Sus scrofa: one gene and its partners. The protein of the gene in region 2 purifies or fractionates together with the protein of the main gene of each other region. This does not show direct contact. Links are inferred from orthologs where the notes say so. Each region holds a gene or a part of one and is shown on either strand. Other genes may lie near its edges.

The links.
Region 1: the proteins of EPC1 (region 2) and MRGBP purify together in Homo sapiens (affinity purification with mass spectrometry; 6 studies listed by BioGRID and IntAct, counting the BioPlex papers as one, with this or other methods). This does not show direct contact. The link is inferred for Sus scrofa from reciprocal best matches to the Homo sapiens genes EPC1 and MRGBP.
Region 3: the proteins of EPC1 (region 2) and H2AFZ purify together in Homo sapiens (affinity purification with mass spectrometry; 4 studies listed by BioGRID and IntAct, with this or other methods). This does not show direct contact. The link is inferred for Sus scrofa from reciprocal best matches to the Homo sapiens genes EPC1 and H2AZ1.

Annotation. Positions count from the first base shown.
Region 1 is NC_010459.5:62,056,927-62,061,210, forward strand, and holds the start of MRGBP (MRG/MORF4L-binding protein), read left to right. Parts: upstream 1-1,474; 5' UTR 1,475-1,539; coding exon 1,540-1,687; intron 1,688-2,127; coding exon 2,128-2,249; intron 2,250-4,284.
Region 2 is NC_010452.4:42,850,013-42,853,522, forward strand, and holds part of EPC1 (enhancer of polycomb homolog 1), read right to left. Parts: intron 3,084-3,510; coding exon 2,924-3,083; intron 1,649-2,923; coding exon 1,472-1,648; intron 1,393-1,471; coding exon 1,303-1,392; intron 1,220-1,302; coding exon 1,071-1,219; intron 1-1,070. UniProt on the Homo sapiens protein: Component of the NuA4 histone acetyltransferase (HAT) complex, a multiprotein complex involved in transcriptional activation of select genes principally by acetylation of nucleosomal histones H4 and H2A.
Region 3 is NC_010450.4:120,562,307-120,566,533, reverse strand, and holds H2AFZ (histone H2A.Z), read right to left. Parts: upstream 2,783-4,227; 5' UTR 2,598-2,782; coding exon 2,595-2,597; intron 2,152-2,594; coding exon 2,074-2,151; intron 1,792-2,073; coding exon 1,678-1,791; intron 1,340-1,677; coding exon 1,210-1,339; intron 933-1,209; coding exon 871-932; 3' UTR 511-870; downstream 1-510. UniProt on the Homo sapiens protein: Variant histone H2A which replaces conventional H2A in a subset of nucleosomes. Nucleosomes wrap and compact DNA into chromatin, limiting DNA accessibility to the cellular machineries which require DNA as a template.

The sequences.
Region 1 (4,284 bases), on a different chromosome or scaffold from region 2:
GCTTATTGATTATTTCCCCCCCCACACACACACACACACCGGGAACTGTAAGGAGATTAAAGGGAAAGGCCTCCATCTGTTACACCTCGTGTGTGTAAGTGGCTTGGGGCTTCCTCCCCACAGGCAGCAACCCTGAGGTGAGCCCAGCTGGCAGGTCAGAGGGAGGGGAGGAGACACACCTGGCAAGAATCCCAACTTAGGGAGTTCCCTTTGTGGCTCAGCGGTTAATGAACCCAACTAGGATCCATGAGGATGCGGGTTTGATCCCTGGCCTCACTCAGTGGGTTAAGGATCCGGCGTTGCCATGAGCTGTGGTATCTAGGTTGCAGATGCAGCTCACACCCGCTGTGGTGTAGGCTGGCAGCTACAGCTCTGATTCGACCCCTAGCCTGGGAACTTCCATACGCCGCAGGTGCAGCCCTAAAAAAAAGCAAATAATAATAATAATGGAATCACAACGTCCAGCCATAACATGGCTCACAGGACGGCCGGCTCTGCTGACCGCGTCTTCCCACCTTGTGGGCACCAGCATGGGAAGCCGGGACTCAGGCTCTGAGTCCACCGGGAGGTGACTGGCTGGCCAGAGCCCACACGGCCAAGGGGCAGCGCTCACCGCTGTGGCTCCAAATGTCTGCTAAGACGCCCGAGCCTGTGCTGGGGCACCCAGAAACCAAGCCCCATCAGTAACCCCACTGCACGGAGGAGGAAGCTTAGGCCTGAAGAGGTCCAGCACCTTGCAGCGCTCACAGAACTAGCAGGTCGCGGAGCCGGAAGAGGACCCGGAAGCCCGACGCGGGAGTCTACACCCGGGAGGTGAAGAGCGCTCGCGCGTTGGGCAAGAGCCCTGGCACCGCGGTGGGCGTGGCCTAGCGGAGAGGGGCGGGGGGAGCCGCGAGGGCGGGGCCGGGCCGGGCCGGGGCGGAGCCGGCGGCCTCCATTGGGTGCTTCTTTGAGTTCGTCACAGGACTGCCAGGCCAGACTCCGCCCAGGCCCCGCCCCTCCGTGGGGGTTAACCCCGCCCCCTCCGGCCTGGGCCCTCCTGCCCTTTAGGCTGAGGCCCGCGGTCAAGGCGCGGGGCCCAGACGCCTCTGCCCCGGCGCGCGGGGGCCGCTCTGTTCCACACTCAGGCCAGAGGTCAGCCAGGGGCTTTTGAAGCCCTTGGAGCCACACTCGCGGGCATTGTCAGTTGCCTGTTCTTTTTCTTCCTAGCAGCTTTACTGAGGTGTAACTTGCAATTCCTCCATTTAAAGCGCACAGTTCTGCGGGGTTTACCCAGAGCTGTGCAGCCATCGCCACAACTTAATTTAGGGCGTTTACATCCTCAGTCCCTCTCATCCTCCTCAGGCTCCGACGGCGCTGCGCTGAGAGACCTGGCCGCCAGGGGGCGCCGCGACCCCGCCCTCAGCTGCGCCTGCGCCGACTCCGCGCGCGAACCCCAGAGCGAGCCCGCCGAGCGCGCGCCCGCCCCGCGAGTGCGCCTGCGCGGAGCCCGTGGCCGCGCCCGCTCCCGCCGGGGGCTCGTCGCTGGGCGGCCGGGCCATGGGGGAGGCCGAGGTGGGCGGCGGTGGCGCGGCGGGCGACAAGGGGCCCGGGGAGGCAGCCACCAGCCCGGCCGAGGAGACGGTCGTGTGGAGCCCCGAGGTGGAGGTGTGCCTCTTCCACGCCATGCTGGGCCACAAGCCCGTCGGTGAGCGGAGCGCCGCGCCGAGGCCGCGCACCCGCGTGGGGGCGGGGCGGCCGGCAACGGCCGGGGGCGCGCGCGGGGCGGGCGGGGCGGGGCCTCCTGCGCCTGCACCCCTGCACACCCTGCCCCCACCTGCTCGCCCCTCCCCGGCCTGCTCCTTGCAGTCCCCTCCCCCGCTCGACTTTGCCCCCTCCCGCCCCCACCCCCCCACGCCGGCCGACCCCTGCCTTCACCTGCACCCCTGCCCCCTTTGCTCCTCCCCCACTGACCCCTACCTCTTCCTCTCCCCCCTTGTACCTGCCACCAACCCCATTCTACCCCCGCGCCCTCCAAGCACTGCCCCCGTCTCCCCCTGCGCCTTCTCCCCTCTCTTCCCCTTGACCCCCACGTCTGTTCTCCAAACTACCTGTCTGCCCCCACGGGCTGACCCTTTCCCCCTGCAGGTGTGAACCGGCACTTCCACATGATCTGTATCCGGGACAAGTTCAGCCAGAACATCGGCCGGCAAGTGCCCTCCAAGGTCATCTGGGACCACCTGAGCACCATGTACGACATGCAGGCACTGGTGAGCTGGCCCCCACCCTCCCCCAGACAGGTGGTGGCCGAGAGCCCCCTCCGTGCGCCTCCCTGCGTCTACACCAGGCCCTGTCCTCAGGGAACTTGACGTCTGGGCTGCCCCGCAGGGGACCAGTTGTTCAACAAGGTAGCTCCGAGCAGTTTTACAGAAAACACAAACCTAGTGACGGTAGCTGGTTATCACATGGCACCTACTTGCAATTGAGGGGTCAGTTAGGACCTGGCCAGGAGACGACTGAGGAGCTGAGGCCTGTGGGAGGGGCTCTGAGGCCATTGTCAGTCTTACAGAAAGTCCCAGAGTGCTGTAGGCAGGGAGGTGGCAGGGTCTGAGTCAGGTTAAGGTGACACTGGTGACTGCTGGTAGAACCAGGCAGGCAGGGACCCGGGCCTCACGGAACCCCCCCTGAGCCATGTCGTTAGCGGGGCAGATGAACTAGGGGAACAGGGTGGCCAAAGAGACCAGTGGCGTTCCCAGCAGAGGAGCGGCAGGTGTCAAGGCTCTGTGGCAGCAGGCGTTGGTGCATCAGAGGACGCAGAGGAGGCCAGGGTGTCTGGAGAGTGGGTGGGAGCCGGGTGGCAGGTGCCCGGTGAGGTGGGAGCCTGTGCTGGGTTAGGGAAGGCTCCATCTCCCCTCACGCCCCCAGGCGAGAATTGGTGCGTGTGGGCAAAGGGGGCAGCAGACCCCCAGCCGTCTGGGTCCAGAAACCTCACTGCCATTCCCTCCCTTTGGCCTTGGGCGTGGCACTCACATCTCGTCCTGGTGTAGGGAGGAGAGAAAGGTGACCACTGTGTCCTGGGACCAGCGCCTGGCCTGCAGTAGGCATTCTAGAAACTCGAGAACTGGCCGCTAAACTACACCAGGCCCACCCAAAGGGCCATGCCTGCTGGTCAGGGCCTTGCCCTCCGTGAGTTCCCGGGTTCCACAGCTTGACTGGGCTCGCATACCTGTCACACTGTGAGGTCACCTGGCCCCCAGGCACGTCCTGAGCCCTGACTGCTGGCTGGACCCAGAGATCAGAGTGGCAGGGTCCCCGACCTGGGGGAGGCAGATGGTTCTTAGGCACGCTGCTGGCCCAGAGGATCCCATGGCTGTGACCCCAGCACAGGGCCCACGTGACACTCAGGGAACTGCAGCGGGGGCACCCAGGGCTTTCAGCCCGGGACAGTGGCCCTTCTCTCTTTTCCTCGCACCCTAGCATGGCTGTGGGGCTGACGTCACGGTCACCTGGGGCCTTGAACCCCACCCGCAAGGTGCCGTGGGCGCAGGAACCCTCGGGTTTTGAAGCTCCTCGATGCCGATCAGCACGTTTACACGCTGACCGCCTGGTGATGAGCACGGCTCCCGAGTGTCTCCTGATCGCCCCCAACCCTGAGTCCCTCCTGCCAGCTAAGCTCTCCCTTCGTCCCATGGGCTGCGTCTCCACCGTCTCTGTCCGGTCCGGCAGGTGCGAGCTGCCAGCCAGGTGGAACACGCTGAGCATCGGCGGTGCCTGCTCCCCTGCACTCACCTGCTTCCCACCCCGGTGGCCCGCCCACATGGGTGAGACGGGAGCCCCATGGCCTTTCTGCAGGGTTGTCACGGCCCTCGGATCGCGTGCTCCCGGAGCCTGCACAGCCGGGCCAGGCCTGCGGGACAGCTGCAGCCTGATTCTGGCCCTGCAGGTGTGCCAGCAGACTGGGCACCCTGGCCCCATCTCAGGTGACAGTCAACCCAGAGTCTTCCCTCTCGTGACTGATGCTGGTGGCTCATGCTGTGGTTTTGCCTTGTCTGGCTCCGTGTGACAAGCCCAGCCCCTCGTAAACCGTAGAAGAGAAAGAAACGGCCTCGGCCCCCTCCACCTGCCCACTGCAGCCTCGAGACCGTTACCTGTGTTTGTTGTTTGCTCCTGAATTTAAAAGTCACGTTTAAGAGCTCCCTGGTAGCTCAGTGGGTTGGGGATCGGGTGTTGTCACTGCAGCGGCTCGGGTTGCTGCTTTGGCTCGGGTTTGATCCCTGGCTCAGGAGCTTGTGTGCGCCACAGATA
Region 2 (3,510 bases):
CGTCACAGCCACAGCAATGTGGGATCCAAGCCACATTCATAACCTACACCACAGCTCAGGGCAACACTGGATCCCTGACCCACTGAGCGACGCCAGGGATGGAACCTGAATCCTCACGGATACTATTCGGATTTGTTTCTGCTTCACCACAACAGAAACTCCGTTTTGTTTTAAAAAAAAATTTTTTTTTCACATTTACTTGAGTGTCTTTGTCTTTCTTTGCTTTTTTAATTTCCGTAATTTCTTCCTTCCCCACACAACCTCTCACACCAAGGCATCTATAGTGTGAAGGGCTTCATCAGGTTTAAACAAAGAAGTCCAGACAAGGCGATATCAAGGCTTGTGAATCCTGGAGCCTTTCCACTGGGAGTTAACTCAGTATACTAGTTATGTGACATTCCTTAGCCTATTTAATCCTTTTCCCCCAATGTCTCCCAGAACTCCTAGAACAATTTTGTGTAGTCTCCTTAACTTAATACAATTTATGTAATTATGGTTTACACTTGCCTTCATCTGCTGCCTTTTCTCAGAGTTCTATCTCTTAAGAATAGATATCTGAGGTTTACAATCTCAGGAAGAAAAGCAGATCCATTAGGCAACTATTAGTTATGCATTAAAAGCTATGGCTGAATAAGAAATAGGTATCAGGAGGTCCCGTTGTGGCACAGCAGAAACGAATCCACCTAGTAACCATGAGGTTGCAGGTTTGATCCCTGGCCTCGCTCAGTGGGTTAAGGATGCGGCATTGCTGTGCAATGTGGTATAGGTCGTAGACGCAGCTCGGATCCTGTGTGGCTGTGGCTGTGGCTGTGGTGTAGGTCGGCAGCTGTAGCTCCCGATTTGACCACTAGCCTGGGAACTTCCATATGCCATGGATGCGACCCTAAAAAAAAAGAAAGAAGAAAAAAGAAAAACAAAGAAACAGGTAGCCAGTATTTTAGTCCAAAAAATTGGTTAAGAACAGCAGGTGGGAACAAATGAGCTCTTTAGACAGATGACCTCACTTTAACTTGAGATCCCCTGACCCCGCCACCTAAAACATCCCCATTGCAAGAGTACAGACACCTCACCTTCCACCGCGCCCAACCCGTCTTCGTGCAAATCCAATGCACCTCGGGGGTACGGTCAGGGTGGTTAAGCAGTATCGGTATCGCACATCCCCCAATCCGCCATCGCCAGGACTAGTCCAAGGCCAGTTGCCAGTTTGGTCTAAGTGAGGCTTAAAAAGAAAAACCCCAATTATTTTTCTTGGTCAGCGAGAGGTAAACAGTCTGTCACTCGAGAAGAGAACTAGGAACTTACCGCATAGTACTGACAGCCTGCCTTCCGACGGAAAGCAAAGGGGCCATCGGGGTCATTCTCTTCCTCAGCTTCCGAAGAGCCAGACAAAACCTTTCAATGGAAGGAAGCCAGTCAGAACGTGTGCCTCCCATGTTACCGCCTGTGTCCGCAGAGAACCCTCGCCACTCACCTGGGACAGAGGCTCTTCATCCGAGCTGGGGAAGTCGTACTGATTCAGGTCTCTAGCGCTGAAGGGCGGCAGCGCGGCGGGGCTCGCCTGTTGAGGGGCAGCAGCAGCAGACGAAGGTAAGACTTTGGGCTTCTTTTCATATTTACGTTTAGGTCGGGTAAGATCGGCTTTATCTTGCTGCAATACAGTCAGGAATTAAACACTAGAAACCATGTTCAACAAACTGAAAGTTCTGGGGAAGTCTTAAAAATAAGTTCACTGCTAAAATGAAGGCCTTTCTACCATCAGAGACACAAGACCTTTACGTTTTGTCGTCTTACACTGTAAAGTCTCAGAGGCTGGTCTCTGTGAAAACATAAGTATGTTCCTACAACCTAAACATAATCATCAAGTACTGTTTCCATTAAAGTCAAAGTTCTCCAGCCTCTGAGATCTTGCAACTGCAATTAGTTTTTACCACTGGCTCTTGTATCTTTTTCTTAACTTCTATGAAAATGCTAGGGCAGAATTTTTCAAAAGGGATGCCTAGTCTTTAAAAAAGTAACAAATCAACCCTGGAAAAGCATTAATTAAAACAATTTTATATACACACAGAGCAAACTTCAGATAACTGTTAGCATAGTGAAAAATAAATTGATGATGCAAAAGTATTAAAAAAATAAAGAGTACATAGGTCACAACTGTGGCGAGGCTTCAATCCCTGGCTGGGGAACTTCTGCATGCTGTGGGGGCGACTCCCACCAACACCCCCAAAAGTCAAGAGTAGTAAGGACTTGCTGGCTCAACAACGAAAGCTTTTTGGAGTGAAAAATTGTGAGCAGTTTTAAAGGATAAAGATATGAAATCATCAGATAGGGAAATGCAGGGATAAAAGAGAGAGAGGCAAGAGTGATGGAGTGAGGATCACAGTGCCTATTACAAATGAGCATAGCAGGTGATGGCAGAGGCTGTGGGGGTACGAATTCCATGTGTAGGCAACAGGCAAGAAAGATTAGAGGCACAAATGATATTTCCTGGGAAGAAAAGAACATGGCAAGTATCATGGTTGTATAAATATGCTAAATATTTATGTCAAGTTTCATACAATTTATGGCATTAAGCTTTTTAAAGAAAAGTTAATTATTAAATGATGAAGTATTTCTCTTTATGATTTCTAGTGCTGTATCAACAGTCCAGTCTTAAATCAAAATCTGGTTTTAAGAGTAGGGTTTATATATATACATAAACATACATATTTCTTTTCCACTCTGATTTTTTTTTTTTTTTGCCATACCCAGGGCATGTGAAGTTCCTGGGCCAGGGACTGAACACTTGCCACAGCAGTAAAGCAGAGCCACAGCAATGACAACTTCAGATCCTTAACTGGCTGAGCTACCAGGGAACTCCTCATTTTGAATGTAACGATAAAACACCACTAACATTTTCAGCTATTATCAGAGCAATTTTTATCACCTTATTAACTTTAAACTCCTTCACATCCATGGCTTCCTGGTGTTTAAACTGACTGCTGTTGCTGATGGGGATGGTGGGGATGGTGTAAGTAGGTTTCATTGGCTGTCTCTGTGCCATAACCTCAGACATGATCTCTCCATTGTAGTCACCCAAATTATACCTGAAATTATAAAAAGAAAGTTTAAAAAGTTAGTTCTACACATACTTATCCTCATGACTACTAACAGCTAACTGAGGTATAACTGCAAACACTGATTAGCCTTAAGGTAAGATTACAGTTAAACCTTGACTATTTGCTGAATGCTTATTAAAACTACAGATGACATAATTCCTATCATTTCTTTCTTTTACTTTTTGGCTTACAGCTTTCTCTCACCATTAACAGATAACTGCAGGAAAAACCCAAAGGTTTAAATTTTAACACAGCAATTTTGGTGAAAGATTTGGGAGAGATGTTGAAATTCATGCCTAAAACAGTGCTGAGGAACTTTCTACTATTTTGAGTTGCCTCTGCTATAAAACTACTTTGGCTGAATGAATCGTAAGAATTTTTTTTTTTTTTTGGCTTAGGGCCACACTTGCAGCAC
Region 3 (4,227 bases), on a different chromosome or scaffold from region 2:
CACAGGGGAACTCCAACCTTGATTCTTTTCTGTAAAAACGGGATTAGATGGTGCATACTGAACAGTTTAATCCAGGTAGCCTTTGAAACAGTGGGAGAACACAGGAAACACTTCACTGTTTATACTGAAAGTACCTTCTGTGGAGGTAGCAATATACAGAACTTCCCTACCTGCCCCAGTCCATGACAGTGCTCTGGATGTAGTGCTGCTGTCACAAACAGCAAGTGCAGCGACAAATTGAGATGATCAAATTTAACCTAAAAAACATCACCTTGTCCAGTTCCAAGCTCCTACTGAAGTTTTAAAATCTTTAATAGTTCATCTCATAGCATTAAAAAATATATATATGCTTTAGCCTTCGAGGTTTGTTGATCTACAAAATTAACATTTTAATTTCAAGGTAAGAAACGTGCTTATTAAGTTATTGCTGGATAAGATAGTTATTCAAAACAAAAGTTGTTCCCATCATAATCAAGTGAATTTAATACACAACTAGTTTGGGATATGACCTTTATTGAGCTTATCCACCGAAGTGGAAATAATGTCTGTACAAAACCAAATGTTTGTTACTATAACTTCTGCATCACAATTAAAATCCAAACAGTTTTTTAAAAACAGTCAACTCAATCAAAACCCACTACTTCAGAATCAATAGCTTCTTTGAAGCCACAGTAACACTTAAATATGGTTAAGACTCGAATGCAGAAATTTGGTTGGTTGGAAAGCTAATTAAACTTCCAACTTGCTCAAATAGAATTACAAAAAGGCAAAATTGTGTTTTTCACAGAGATACAGTCCATTGGAATCACCAACACTGGACAGCTGTTAGAGTATTTAGAGTCCTGAGATAATAAGGAATCCAGGCATCCTTTAGACAGTCTTCTGTTGTCCTTTCTTCCCAATGAGAGATTTGTGGATGTGTGGAATGACACCTAGGGGAGGAAAGGGATACTTTTAAATATACATTATTTTGAAAATTAACACAGGACTTCAAAACCATGACAGTTTAACGTTCAACTTCGAAGAAGTCTTTAAATGTGAGGCCAGAGTATGCAGAAGTAAAAATTCACTAAGTTATATACAGGAATCAATTTTCATGATGCAACCATACTACAGATCACTGAAAATAACACTAAGTGTCCTCTTCTAGTGGGGGAAAAAAGTAAAGAATTATCTAAAGAAATTAAAAAATTTTTAGTATTTACATACCACCACCAGCGATTGTAGCCTTGATGAGAGAATCCAATTCTTCATCTCCACGAATAGCAAGTTGCAAGTGACGAGGAGTAATACGCTTTACCTTCAAGTCTTTTGATGCATTTCCTGCCAATTCAAGTACCTAGAAGACAGAATCTAATCAATCTCCTGCCAACTTTCCTTAGGATCAAGATCCAGAAGAATCAAACCTTCGTGAACGTGTATCTACCAACTGCCGTCTCCCCCCACTACCTGAATGGCAAGATATGCAAAAGCTATAAAGGGGACACGCAATTTTATTTCCTAAAGCAGTCAACTCAAGCTCAGGAGGAACCCAAAATGAACACCAGCCCCCTCTAGCGTTGTCAGAAGCTTCTCACCGCGTTCAGAGCCTGGGAGTTTTCTTGCATCACTTTCCTCCTTCCCTCTCACCGCCTCCCCCCACCACCTTTTCCAGATTACAGGCGTACACCCATTTACCTCTGCGGTGAGGTACTCCAGGATGGCTGCGCTGTACACAGCGGCAGTCGCGCCCACACGTCCATGGCTGGTCGTCCTAGATTTCAGGTGTCGATGAATACGGCCCACCGGAAACTTCATTTTTCGCATACACAAACACAAATGCACAAAGATAGAGGAGCCAAAAATGGTCAAATTATACGCGCGCCAAAGCAAGGGGCACGGAGGCTGATGCAGCAACGCGCCCTAGCATCGCCACACGTGATCGCCCCCCCTTCCCCAATATTTATTGTATCGGTAAACCAAGTCCCGACACCATCACCACGCAAAGACCAAAAGCTCATCTAGTGCAATGATAAACAGAGAAAAAGGAGAGAAAAACGCCGCGATTCCCAGACAGCAGAAACCCCCACTGACCTGCAAACCGGCTCTCTGCGAGCGGGAAACCGCCTTTGTCTTGGCCTTTCCGGAGTCCTTCCCAGCCTTACCGCCAGCCTGCGGCGCGCACACGCCCGCGAGCGAAGAAGGAACGCAGAATACAGGATTACCAAGGCGGCGCGCCCCTCCCCCACCGCGGGGCGGCCCGGGCGCGAGCGGGGCCCGGTGCCCAGCCGGGGTCTCCGGCCCGCCGCGCGCCGCAAGGGCGACCCCGCCCGCCTGCCCCCCGCTGCGCGCCCGCCGCGGCCGCGCGCTTCAGGCCGCCCGCTCACCGCCCTCCGGCTCCCAGCGGCGCTGCGCGCGCCACCCAACCGTCGCCGCCCGCCGCGAGATCGGAGGCTGCTCCGCTCGCCGCCGACAAAACACCTCCCCCCGCTCTTCCACATCCTCTCTCCGCGCGTTCCCAACCGTCACCGCTTCACCCCCATCTCCGTGTGTAACGGGTTTTTCTCCTGCCGGCAAAAACCCGCGTAGTCTTCGAGCGCCTCCGCGAAGTTTACCATTTCGAATTCTGCTGAAGCTCAAACAAGCAAGGCAGAGAAAGGACTAGTCAGTCACCAAGCGAGATCCCGCCGCCTACTCCTCCGTCGCACCGCGATTCAAACTGCGCTGTCTCCCGCCTTCCCCGCTCCCTTTATACTGCAGAATGTTCCCTCATCCGGGAACTCGGATTGCTCATCCCACCAATGGCTGCCACCCGCCCTCGGGCCGCGTCCTTGAAGTCTCAGCCAATGAGCAAGCGAAGAAAAGGGCGGAGGGGCGGGCGCTTTGCAGCTCGAGCTGTTATTGGGGCATGAGAAGGAGGTGGGGGAGAACGGAGGGATGGGAACCCGGGAGAAGAAGGGCACAGCGGCGGGAGGGAAGAAACAGAGCGAGCTACGCTGCTTGAGCAGGGCACCCGCCGGCTTAGTCACGTGCCTGGAGGGAGGAGCTGAGAGGCTCAGGGGAGGGGCACGCAGTAGCTGCCCCCTATTCCACCTTTGCCTCCTTGCTCGGTTCCAGAGACCTCGGAAAGCGGGGACTAGCACTCCCTCCTTCCTGCCCTGCCCTCCCTCCGCCTCCGCCCCGTTAGAACACCTGGCGGGCAGAGACCCGCCTGTCCGCAGCCTTCTTCCGGAGCACGGGGTACCTTCACCGACCCCCCTGCATTCCCGTTGACACCTCCGGTCTGACAGGTGGCGCGAAGGCGTCCAGTGAAAGGCGCCCCGACTCCTTCGCTAACCATAGTCTGGGTAGTGATTTCGCGTTTGTTCCTCCTAGGCAAGTGCCCAGCCACCGATTCATCACGACCCTCTGCTCCCACTTTTTCAGCTGTATCTCCTTCCTCTTCTTTTCTCAGGACTTTTTGAACCCCCTACCTCCCCAACCCCAACAGAACAGTTTCATGGAAAAGACGGTGAAGCAAAGTCACCTCGCTGGTCATAAAAGACCTTTTGGTCTACCCACTGAAGGCTTGGGCTGAGGCGGTATTCTTTAATCAAATCATATTTTTCTAAAGACTACACGTCTGTGGGTTGTACCTATAGCCTGGCTTCTAAAGTTGATTTAGTGAAACATGAAGGCTATTATGTGTCAACTCTTCTATGCTAAACATTTTGCTACTTGACAAATGTTCGGTAAATGTCCTCATATGATTCACAGGCAGTTACAGATGGTCCATGTAATCAAATGCAAATGATGGGCTTAAAAAAATAGTACTGTACACACAGTACTATCATAATGCCAGCTACTTAATTTTCCAACTAATAGATTAATAGCACCTCTGTACACGTCCAGCTGCTTGGAGACAGTAGTGATCCAAATCTTTCATACTTGGAGTTTTAACAGTAATTACGTTATAAACATAATTCAGTATTTCTGACATTAAGAAAATTTGAAATATATACTCTTTAGTACTGTAGTTTGGGTTTCAATCTGAAAGTTTTATCAAGTTTTTTTGGAAATTTGCTGTTAATTTTAAAATTAAAAAATTGGGAGTTCCTGTTGTGGCTTGGCGCTAAAGAACCCAGCTAGTATCCACGAGGACGCGAGTTCAATTCCCGGCCTCACTCAGTGAGTTAAGGATCCTTGGTTGCCCTGAGCTGTGGACTAGATGGCATGCGTGGCTGGGATCCTGCATGGCTGTGACTGTGG